3 linked regions of the Nothobranchius furzeri genome follow. The protein of the gene in region 2 purifies or fractionates together with the protein of the main gene of each other region. This does not show direct contact. Links are inferred from orthologs where the notes say so. Each region holds a gene or a part of one and is shown on either strand. Other genes may lie near its edges.

Region 1 (3,754 bases), on a different chromosome or scaffold from region 2:
ACATGTTCACTTAACCAACAGTAATTTCCTGAGATGACATTTACAGTTCATGACAAAATAACAGTGCACAAGTACATAACACTCAAAAAAGTAATGCTTACAAAATGTTACCGTGAGAAAGATGTGCAGTCAACTATTACACATTTACTCTGCAATCCAATCTAAAAATTCAGAGTAAAAACTGGTATTTATCATGTTGTAAGCATAACAATCAACTATGGCAGACAAAATGTACATTTATAAATTTACAATCTCTTTAAAAAACTGCCCACTGTCATTCCAGCGCAGGCATTTTGTTTTGTGAAACAGCCAATAGTCATTTTCTTGGCGATGAACACAACATCACACGTGGTGTACAAGTTAGCGTTTAAAACAGAGGCATTTTACTTTTTGGGCATTTTACTTTTTTATGTTCTTAAAAGATTAAACTCATCCTTTCTCCATTCTAAACAAAAATAAATCTCCCTCAGCTTCACTTCAGCATTTAGATAAATATAAAATAAACCAGTGATACCCAAAGCACCTCAGTCAAACTCCGTTCGTTTATGAGGAATTCACTCCCAACATTGCTGCAGTGAAAACACAACTACTGTACATAAAGATATCTATCATAATGATATACCCACTGGTAGTTAAATGCTTCTGATGGCTTTAATGTTGAATTTAAATTACTTTTACAAACATTATTCTGCAATCTAGGTTGTGCTTAAAAAAGAAAAAGCTCTTCCTGTTTGGTTGGTTGTTCCACCTGATCAGTTCAGACTGCAGCTGCTCGGGTCACTCATTGGTCACTGCCTGAGGGCACTGCTGCTGCTGGTGTTGATGGCTGGTGGCTCTCTTCATTTCCCATCTTCACAGATGCCTGGCTGATGGCCAGAAGGTCCCGAAGCTCCTTGTTCTCAATCTGAAAGAGCCCGGATAACCAAACGTAACCTCGTGTAGATTACTCGTTATCACCAGTCCATGCAAGATGGTTGTATCTATGCGAGTTTGGTTTATTGAATCAACATTTTAACCAGAATGAGTCAAGAAAGTCATCTCAAAGAGTTTCTAAGTTGATCTCAGGTGTGTCCAGATATTTTCATTCATAATCTAATGCTGCACCATACGCTCCAGGAAACTAGCAAACAAGAAAACCTGAGAAACTCCAACAGTTTTTATGCTAGCAGCACTAAGCCTTGTGTGTGTTTGTAGACTCATGCTAATTTCCTGAGCTGTTTCAAAGCCTTAGAGTCACTGATTTTGCCTTTTAAAAGCTTAATGATAACTCCTGACATCACGACTGCCATTCCAGTCCTTACCTCCAGTTGAGCAAGCCTCTCTTGAACAGAGCAGAAGTGCTGATCGTCCACCTGCATGGCTCTCCTCATCACTTGGCCCATCTCACATATCCGTTCCACCTGGCTTTGCACTTCCTGGATAAGATTCAGAAAGCATAACTTCAAACCCCTTTTTCTGTCAGAAAATTACATGACTGGGAATGTTCACAGCACAATGAAAGTTGGTGTACTTTGACGTAGTCTTGGTGTAGTCTGAGCACTGGTTTCGTGTCCAGCTCCTTTTTTGCCATCATCAGCTGGAGCATCTGCTTGCGATATCGACCCATGATCAGTTCTAGTGTGTACTGGTGCTCTTCAAGGGACAGCCATAGTTCTGCGGAAACAGTGGCGAAGACAAAAATTACAGACAAACACATGAACTCTAAAAATACCTAAAAACATTGTAAGGATTTTACCTTTATTCTCTTGCTGCAATTCCTTGATTTGAGTGTTTTCTTGAGTCAGAAGGATGTGAGGCTTGTATTTTGTGAGTTCCCGAATCTCTGAGCTGTCTTCTGTGTGCTAAAAGGCAGCAACAAGGAAAATGTCATAAGTAAAAAATACATTTTAAGCACTAGTTGGATGACTGTTCCACCTCTTGATAAATAATTCCCATTATTTAAATATGCTTTTAAAGGCTGGTGTACTTTTTTGGACGATCAGACCTTCTATCTCAAAATGTCTAAGTACTTGAGTAGAGTTAGAGAAGAGTGTCATTTTAAGCTTACCTGCAACCCCAAATCCTTAATGCATGGCTTAAGTCAGCCTTCTAATATAAATATACTTTCACCCAACGTTTATGTGTGAGAGACCATCTTACCTTGTCTGGAAGAGCATTGCCCACCTCCCTCATGCCCTGCACTCTCTGGCTGAGGGCCCCGGATTGCTCGATCAGTCCCTCAGCAGCCGTATCGTGCTCTTTCAGCCTTTCCAGGAGGGTCCTAGCATCCCCCAACACTTTTTCAAAAGTACAGGCCATTAGCTATTAAGTGACTAGTCGTATTTGTAAACTAAAGCTTCCAAATACCAGTTTGATCAGGCGAAAATTTGCCCGTACTGTAGCTTACGCTGGCTATGCTGTTCAAACGCACAAAAATGTTTTACAAACAAATATTCATATCTCAGCGGACCCTCCTAGATCATTTCTCAAGAGACAGATGACTAATTAAACCAGGACAATGTATAACAAAAGAAATCCCTCTTTTTGTTGGCAACTTCGTATTCGAGAGGAAAAAATATAGCGTCACTTCCGGGATTGTACCGTAAACAAGTATCTTGCCGTCAAACGTATCATCGTAGACGTAAAAATGTTTACGAATCCTTTGGTTTTCTCATTCTCGGCAAGGAAACCGTGTGCATAGACATTTTCTGAATAATTTCATTATCCAACTATCTTCATGAGTGTCTGGTGCGCAGACCTGTGGGAAAAGCCGTTTTAACATTTAATAGCATACTTTACTGCATATTAAGCATTTAATGCCTTTTAAACCTCGGTTGAGCCCAGGTTGAGCCCGATTATTTACTTCAAAACAACTGAACATCATTTCCCATGAACCCATGCGTGACAACAGAGCCAGCTGCAGAGGCTTCCCTAGCCTTCGTCAAATATCGCGGGAGCTGTCTCCCTAATCACTACGTAATGTGCCGTGCTGCTTCTAGCGGCGCTGGTGACAGTGCTAAAAGCTGTTGGGGTGAGTTTTATATTATTTTTCTCTGCTTGGTAAACCGTTGAGATATATTTAAATGTCTTATTTCGCATTTAATTTTTTTATAATTCAGGCGGGGTCACCAAAGCGAACGGGCGGTGTACAGCAGAAGTCGGGCCTGGGTGGGGATGCCTTGTTTTTTCTCGGGCCACAGCAGCGTGCTCTGGCTAACGAGCTAACGTTCCAAACGACCGAGCGACGGTTAAATAGCAAGCTGGCGTTTCTTTGACGTGTCTAAAGTACCGAAGACATGCTACTTTGGCCATTCTAACACTTAAGACGTTTCTAGTTGGTGCACAACTTTTGTAGACGCGAGCTTTGTAGGTAGTTTCTTTGTTTTCCATCATCCTCGTGCCGTTAGCCGCGGTGTTTTCTTCGTTTACCCTCGATCTGTTAGGAAATCAAACACGTTTTAGCGCATGTGTGTTGTATCGGACTTGATTAGCCGTCTGACAAATTTCGGATTTAAAATTGGTTTTGATCTAATTCCCATTTTGGTTTTTGCATTTGTTTCAGCTGGATGATGTCGCAAATGTGCCAACCTACTTCTTAACGATACACCTTAAACTGGACCTTTACGTTTATTCTTAAGTTTTCCAAATAATTACAAAAAACAATTTATACGACGTACTTCTCTTGAAAGAAAGCATCTTTGTTTATATTTTTTCGAAAGTATCAATATACCATTTATTAAAATCAAATGAAGAATACGTGGCATTGTAGCCTGAG
Region 2 (3,754 bases):
TCCAGGTCACGACAGGTTATCACTGGCGTCAGCGAGACCCTGAAGGGGTCGTGAGGTTCAGCTTTTATTCTGAAGGAACCGTTGCAGACAGGTGTAACTTATAATAGATTTTATCCAGCTTGTCGAGGTTCTTTATGGCTGAAGGGGAAGTCCGGATGGCCTGTCCGAGACTTCTCTAGAACGCTTTAAACCAAACAAAAGGTGGCGTGGGATAGTTTTTATAATTGTCATATTTTGGTTTACTGGCGAATCAGAATTTGACATGCAAAAGAGGGTTTAAACAAACACCACAGAAAACAATGCCTCGCGTCAGAAACGAAGGTTCTGATTGGATCAGACAAAAGGAAATGTGTCATGTGGCTTTAGCGTTACATGTCATTAGTGTCTAGTGGAAATGCCCAAGATTATAATTACTTGTAAAATACTACTGATCACAGGATTATAATATCAAGTAATAACATTGTCATTTCACAGATTGATTGAACATTGGGCTCACATTATTATTGGTAATAACTAAGTTGGTTGATTATGTGTTTATCAAGAGTTCTTCGTCTTCGTCTTGAGCTGTAACAGAGGTGAAGCAGTTCAATGAGCAGAGTGCATGAAATACCTTGGCCACTATCTCATGTAGATTAGCCTGTGTCAGAGACAAGTCTCTGCTCGAGCAGACGCAGCAGATCATGACCTTTTGGTCAAAAACAGGACATTCATGACACTACAACTGCAATGACTTTGGGACAATAGAATCGTTTCTCATTGGGATTTTACCAACAGACCATTGCAACATCTGAGACTGGATAATGTAAAGTAATACTTTAGTGTTCTTGTGATGGACTGGAGACCAGCAGGCTGCCCACCTCGCACAGTCTGCTGAAGGTGGACACCAGCTCCCAATGGAGTACAGGAGGAATTGGTTACACCATATGAACAATGAATATTTGCTGTAGTGTTGTCCATCACCATTTCTACTTATTGAACAACTAAAAAATTTTCAATGTTTGTTTTTCTGTCCAAATTTTCCTTCAATAAACACATGAAATTGCAAAACAGAGCTGTTGTCCTTGTGCGCATTTACATGATAGATGTACAGTGGGGGCATTGAAAGAAAATATAGAGTTTTTTGTTGAGTAAATATAAAGGTATCTGATGTTTGTATGAATTTGACCGCCGATCGTCAAAACCTTAAAAATTATAAACAATAAAATCTGATCTTAAAGCAAGGGTGGGATTGATCTTATAAAAATAATATAAAGTTGAACATGAATGACAGATTTAATACAAATTCGTCAAAAAGATGCAACAGAAGAACCGAGAGGAAGGTCCACGTACGCGTCAGAAACAAACTCTCGCTCAATTTTCATCTCGCGAGAGTTCGTCCAATTGCTAATGATGGATGTCGGTGGGAATGGTGGTGGTCCACCTGTAAACAATAAACAAAGAGCTATGCTGCCCAATAAAGGCAGGGGAGAATTTCCTCGGAATTCAAGAAAAGACTCAGAGGTGCGTTAACAGAAAAGTTAATTTTTATTTCGCCAGGGGGTTCTGTAATCAAGACGAGGCCTCGTTTCTGCTATTGTAACGTTAGCTTTGTGAGTGTCTCTTAACTAGCATGTCTTTAACAACTCGGCTGCTGCTATCTGCAGTAACTGACTCAAAATGTTTTAAATGTGTGTGTATATCTTTGTGATCTTTTTGTCCTCTGAAATGTTGCTGTTGGTTTAGCTCTAGCTTCGCTTAGAGTAGCTAGCTGATGCTAGCTAACAGGACTGCCTGTCAGAATTCTGTCTACCTGTTGAAAAAATGTGAGTCGGGTCCACTCGTGCTTTATGATCCATTTAGTTGCAGCAACAGTGCTTTAAAAACAGTTACGTGAATAAGCTAACATAGGGTTCTTCCTAGTCACAGTGCGTGTCTGCATCATGATGCATAGCAGCAATTTCCAGAATCTGCTCCAGGAGTTGATTTGACCCAATAAACAAACTGAATCAAGTACAACTAGAAATTAAAAAATACTTGATTTGTCTCTATTTTGGTGCTAGAATTGGTCTTTTAATACTGCAGTTTGTCCAAATGAAACCAAATTTACTCACCATGGTTGTAGTGGATATGCAGGAGCTCCACCATCAGTATTAGAAAGAAAACGATATTTTATATAGCGCCTCTCAAGATAAAAATCACGAGGCACTTCACAAAAACAAAAAGTACGGAAAGAGAGAGAGAAAATTAATAGGAAAGACCAGAGAGCATGCAGGGGTGGGCAGTCCTGGACCTCGAGGGCCGCTCTTTAGCATGTTTTAGTTGTTTCCCTGCATTAATACATTTCATTTTAATCAGCAGGTGATTAAAAGACCTCTACATAAGCTTGATGACCTGCTGAACAGGTTATTCAACCATTGAATTAAGTGTGTTGGAACAGGGAAATGACTAAAACATGCTGGGTAGTGCCCTCAGAGGACCAGAGTTGTCCACTGATCCACTTGGTTTGATGCTTGTACGTAAACACTAAATCATATTTGTTGTGGTTGTTGTGACTCATCCTTCAATTAACAATGGGATTGGGTTCTGGTTAGTTTGGAGATCAGATGTCAGCCTCTTTTCTCATTTTTATGTGTTTTTGTGTAGCAGGTGTTATCACTCGGGGCTGGACACATCTTGTGTGCAGTGTTGTGTTGCTGCAGTATGGAGCTAGGATTGTGTGCAGTGTGTTTGGTGTCAAAAATCCCTTTTATCTAACTCTGACATCCTTATGTTTCACAATAAATCATACTTTAGTCAGGGTTACTACAACACTTAATTTACATCTGGGATATATAAAATGATTTCTTAATTAAAATTCTAATTAGTGATACTTCTTCAAAACTGTAGGCAAGAAATTACTATTATTTTTGTCTGATATCTGATCTCATGTGTGCAGGGAATGTCTGAGTTGCCGGATCTCGAGTTTGAATATTCTGACACAGACAAGTGGGCTGCAGAGCTGTCAGGTTTGGATGCATATGCTTCTCAGAATCAGAAATCTAGATTCAGAATAAGTTTGACTTGTTCTTAACTAGACCATTAATTAAATTTTATTTTGTACCATTTTCAGAACTTTACAGTTACACTGAAGGACCAGAATTTGTTCTTAACAGGAAGTGCTTTGAGGAAGAATTCAGAGCTCATGGTAGGTGGCCCTAATTACCGATAAGATGCTTATAAAATATAAAATGTTTATTTAGCTGTTTCCTTGCTGTGCTTCAGTGTTTGATAAGAAGTGGACGGAGCTGGATGCAGCTCAGCACAGGGCTCATGCCTTGCGTCTCCTGGACAGTCTGGAGGTCATCACTCGTGAGAAGAGACTGAAGGTTGCTAGAGCTATTCTGTACATGGCTCAGGGTCAGTGTTCCCTCACTTTGAATAAAATCAACTTAATTACAAGGTAAAGATCTGCTTTATGTTTCTAACCTTTGATAAATCTCTGTTTTATGCAGGAACCTTTGGAGAATGCAGCTCTGAGGTTGAGGTGCAGCACTGGATGAGATATAACATATTTCTGCTACTTGATGTTGGGACCTTCTCTGCTCTGGTGGAACTACTTAACATGGAGATCGAGTATGTTTTATGTTCAGTTCATGAATGGTTGTTGCACATTAATTGCTGTAAAAGTTGTTGTTTCGCAGAGTTTTCAGTCTATGTATTTTCTGTTATATCACTGATGCACTCTACTCCTCAGTAACAGTGCCGCCTGTAGTAGTGCAGTCAGAAAACCGGCCAT
Region 3 (3,754 bases), on a different chromosome or scaffold from region 2:
GGAATAATTCTTTTGACATTGCAGAAGCAATCAAAGTGAAGGGCAGTCCAACTAAATATTACAAAGTGACACTTTTGGGGATGGGCAGGGTACAGTTGAGATTCAGTTCTTCAGGCTATTTTGGAAATGGTAACACTTTTTTTCCTAGACGTTTTGACAATTTTCTTTAAAATTTCAACATTTTTCTTGACGTTTTAACTTTATCCTGGAAATAGTATTTCACTTGTTGACTAGCATTTTTACTTTTATACAATTAAACCCCGAAACCCCTTTTTGAAACAATTTATTAAATTGTGGCTTCTTCGAATAGGAAAATAAATAACCCATGAGAGTTTGGTAGTGATTTTTCCACCAGGCATGTGAGCATGTTTGGCCTGCCAGACTCGTCCTCTGTTTAATTCTACACAGAGAACTAATGCTTCCCATAAGGATGCATGACTGGTCAGGCTAGCTGAATGTGGGAGAAAAGAGATTTAAATAAAGATTTTGCTTTGAAGTTACAAACCTTCGGCTGAATTTCCTGGCTGATCCTTGTTGATTGCTGTCTGAATATTACTGAAGGAAGCAGGTGGAGCACATTGTTGCAGAACACCGATGGCATCACAGAACTGATCAGCCAGCTGTTCACACGCAACAAAACAAACACGGGTTTTAAAACTCCGGACATTTGTTTAAAAGAATATAGAATAGATAAACAGCCAGTATAGTCTGATAGTTGCATTACCAGTTAAACCAAGCCATGTTCATTGGTTAAAACATAAAAGCTGTGATAAATTGTGTAAATTAACTAAACCTTAGACTCGCAAGTTAGCGATTAGCTACATTTAAAAGACTGAAACGATAATTCTGCAAATATTTCTTATCTAAATCCATTTGTTGTAATTGTGTAAGATAAAAAAATAACTATTGACGTAGAAAATAATTATATTTCGGGATATTTCAATAGTTTTGCTTACAGAATTGACAGCGTCTTGAAGTTGCGTTAGCCTATCCGCCATGTTGCCGTAAATAAAATAAAAAACTCCCCAACGTGACCCTCGCGAGAGTTTAACGTCTCGCGGAAATAAACAAGAGGCTTCGAGTTAGCTGAAGCGATGGCTGTGACCGTCCCACGGCTGGTTTTTTGTAATGTGGATAGGTTTTAAATCGACTTTTTCATGACTAGCGATATTTACTCTCGTGCTTTAAGGAAATGGGAACGCGCCAAAGCATCTAATCCGGAGTAAACGTCAGCTTTTAGCCAGTGTTAGCCACCAAACAACAACAGGAAGTAAAGAAGCTAACTCAACCCAAGTGGTTTTGTACTTTGAACTCTTCAGGTATGACCACACATTTGTCAGTTTTGCTGCCTTTTGTGGACCTTACAAGTTTAGTTATAGCAGCCGGTTGGTGTTATGAACTCCTCGGTAGTTTATATTTGATTAATGAAGTGTTGTGGTGATAAATTGTGTCAGTAAATGCAAAATATGTTAAGTAATAAAACTCTTATTAGAGTAAAATGACCTATCAATGCATTATTGGCTGTAAACTAGCGTGCTATCACCTACGAGGAGGCTTAAGGTTCAAGCTAGGTTCTTTAGCTTTAGAAACGTTTATTCATGGCTCATTTCGATCGTTCTGGTGAATTATTATTATTTTACAGAGTGTGGTGAAGTGAAAGTTCATGTATTTTCGTGTGGCTGTCTGTAAAAAGATTCTGAACAACTAATATAGAAGTAGACAGATCTTTGAATGAGCTGAGTTTGAAGAAATAAAGATTAGTACTTACTGGACTGATTTGTTTGCATGTATTCGTAGTGTATTGCATTAATTATATTTATTTTCAATAAATTGATACCAACAAGTCAGAGCTGTTGAATAATCAAAAATAAGTTGTTTTTATGCTTCTGTATTTCCTTAGGTATGAATTGTAGTTTAGAGAAGGTCTTGGCAGATGCCAAATCATTAGTGGAAAGGCTTCGTAACCACGACAATGCCGCTGAGATGCTAATTGAACAGACAACATCTCTCAACAAGAGAGTGGAGGCTATAAAAACGGTATGTGATTTTTTTTTTTCCTATTTTATGTGCTGTTGGGTACTAGCTTAGTGCCACCAGGGGTCACATTTTACTAATTCTATAACTGAACACTCTATAATGCAAAAGAAGAAAGTAAAGTGCATTCCAAAGAATGATGGAATATTTTAACCGTAGCGTTGACTGCTGTTTAGTTTACAGGACATAACTACTGAGGGCGAAGCTTTTTATTGATTCGTTATTTATTTATTTTTTCACATTTGACAGTACCAGGAAGAGATTGATGCACTGAACCAGGTTGCGCGACATCGGCCTCGTTCCAGTCTGGTTCTGGGAATCCAACAAGAGAACCGTCAGATCAGAGAACTCCAGCAGGAAAACAAAGGTAGTCTTTCAGTGTTAATACTCATGGTGATTGCTTCCTGTTCGGTACAATACATTCCTTTACTTTTGTCAAATCACACTGCTTACAAACACTGAAATGTTTTTGGGCAGAAAAAATGTTTTTTACAAATATCCAGAGACATCATTAAGGTAAAATTTATTTACATAGACATATACAGATCGACTAGAGTTATTTAAAATCCTTACAAAATATTTTTCACTGCATTTCCCTATTCATTTGTTCAGTAATTAGTAGTCACTTACTTAGCTTGCTGCCATGGTCCAATTAAGAGTGAATAATTAGCCTACTTACCTTTTTATACCATTACTAAAATGTCTTCCTCGTACCACTAGAGGGAGCTCTCATACCATGATTTGAGAATGACTTTGTCATAGTTAGCCAACCAAACATGCGTTCTCTCTTTCTGCAGAGCTCCGAACATCTTTGGAGGAACACCAGTCTGCGATAGAGCTCATCATGACTAAATACAGGGAGCAGGTGTTCAGGCTCCTAATGGCGAGCAAGAGGGATGACCCCGCCATCGTCACTCAGCTGAAGGAGCAGCACACCACGGTCAGCAACTCGGGTTTCCTTTGTTCTTCTAATTCATATTTTAATAACTGTAATGTAAAATCTTCTAATCATTTTTTGTTGATCTGTGCAGGAAATGCAAGCGCACATAGACAAAATCAACGAGATGGCATCTGTGATGAGGAAAGCTATAAAGGTGGATGAGGACCGAATATGTGAAGACGAGGAGAGGATTAAACAGTTAGAGGTAAAGACGAATAAGGAGTTGCTGCATCATCCCTGTAAATGTTCTGAATTCTGATGCAGGAAAACATGTTTGACATGAATGAAACAAGGGAGAGTTTAGCTATTTAAATGATTCATGAGTCATCTTACACAGGTAAGCAATATCATTTAAGACTAACTCATTTGGATCAAAGCATCTGCCATAGTGGGTTAAACTATGAATCAGTACATTTGGGACCGGTTTTCCCACTGGTTCATTCAGTTTGTTATAACTGAGAGTAACGTTCTGACAAACGGGTCATGTAGTTAAGTGATCTAAACAATAAGAAGCTACAGAGAAAATAAAATCATGAAAGAAATCAGTTTAAACACAATGTTAATGGAAATAAGAAAGTAGAGAACAGGCATTATGTTTGTGGTTTAAACATGAGAGTTTTATTATCTGTACATTTTACAGAAGGCTGTAGGTTCAAATCCCGGTAGATCAGATTAACCTATCTGTGACCACCAATAGAGCTGGACGATATACATAAAAAGCATATTGATTAATATCAATAATTATTAATAACTAGAAAATGTAGAAAATATATTAGAAGT

What was found.
Region 1: the proteins of strip1 (region 2) and sike1 purify together in Homo sapiens (affinity purification with mass spectrometry; 3 studies listed by BioGRID and IntAct, with this or other methods). This does not show direct contact. The link is inferred for Nothobranchius furzeri from reciprocal best matches to the Homo sapiens genes STRIP1 and SIKE1.
Region 3: the proteins of strip1 (region 2) and fgfr1op2 purify together in Homo sapiens (affinity purification with mass spectrometry; 3 studies listed by BioGRID and IntAct, with this or other methods). This does not show direct contact. The link is inferred for Nothobranchius furzeri from reciprocal best matches to the Homo sapiens genes STRIP1 and FGFR1OP2.

What each region holds. Positions count from the first base shown.
Region 1 is NC_091755.1:53,138,431-53,142,184, reverse strand, and holds the start of sike1 (suppressor of IKBKE 1), read right to left. Parts: upstream 2,444-3,754; 5' UTR 2,299-2,443; coding exon 2,140-2,298; intron 1,842-2,139; coding exon 1,736-1,841; intron 1,654-1,735; coding exon 1,511-1,653; intron 1,416-1,510; coding exon 1,302-1,415; intron 905-1,301; coding exon 782-904; 3' UTR 1-781.
Region 2 is NC_091743.1:46,738,335-46,742,088, forward strand, and holds the start of strip1 (striatin-interacting protein 1 homolog), read left to right. Parts: upstream 1-1,063; 5' UTR 1,064-1,263; coding exon 1,264-1,500; intron 1,501-2,914; coding exon 2,915-2,984; intron 2,985-3,088; coding exon 3,089-3,163; intron 3,164-3,240; coding exon 3,241-3,375; intron 3,376-3,470; coding exon 3,471-3,591; intron 3,592-3,712; coding exon 3,713-3,754. UniProt on the Homo sapiens protein: Plays a role in the regulation of cell morphology and cytoskeletal organization. Required in the cortical actin filament dynamics and cell shape. Part of the striatin-interacting phosphatase and kinase (STRIPAK) complexes.
Region 3 is NC_091741.1:59,845,528-59,849,281, reverse strand, and holds the start of fgfr1op2 (FGFR1 oncogene partner 2 homolog), read left to right. Parts: upstream 1-1,054; 5' UTR 1,055-1,319; intron 1,320-1,900; 5' UTR 1,901-1,902; coding exon 1,903-2,037; intron 2,038-2,283; coding exon 2,284-2,401; intron 2,402-2,831; coding exon 2,832-2,974; intron 2,975-3,065; coding exon 3,066-3,179; intron 3,180-3,754. Other genes in the region: med21 (mediator of RNA polymerase II transcription subunit 21), read right to left, coding at 506-620, 957-998. UniProt on the Homo sapiens protein: May be involved in wound healing pathway.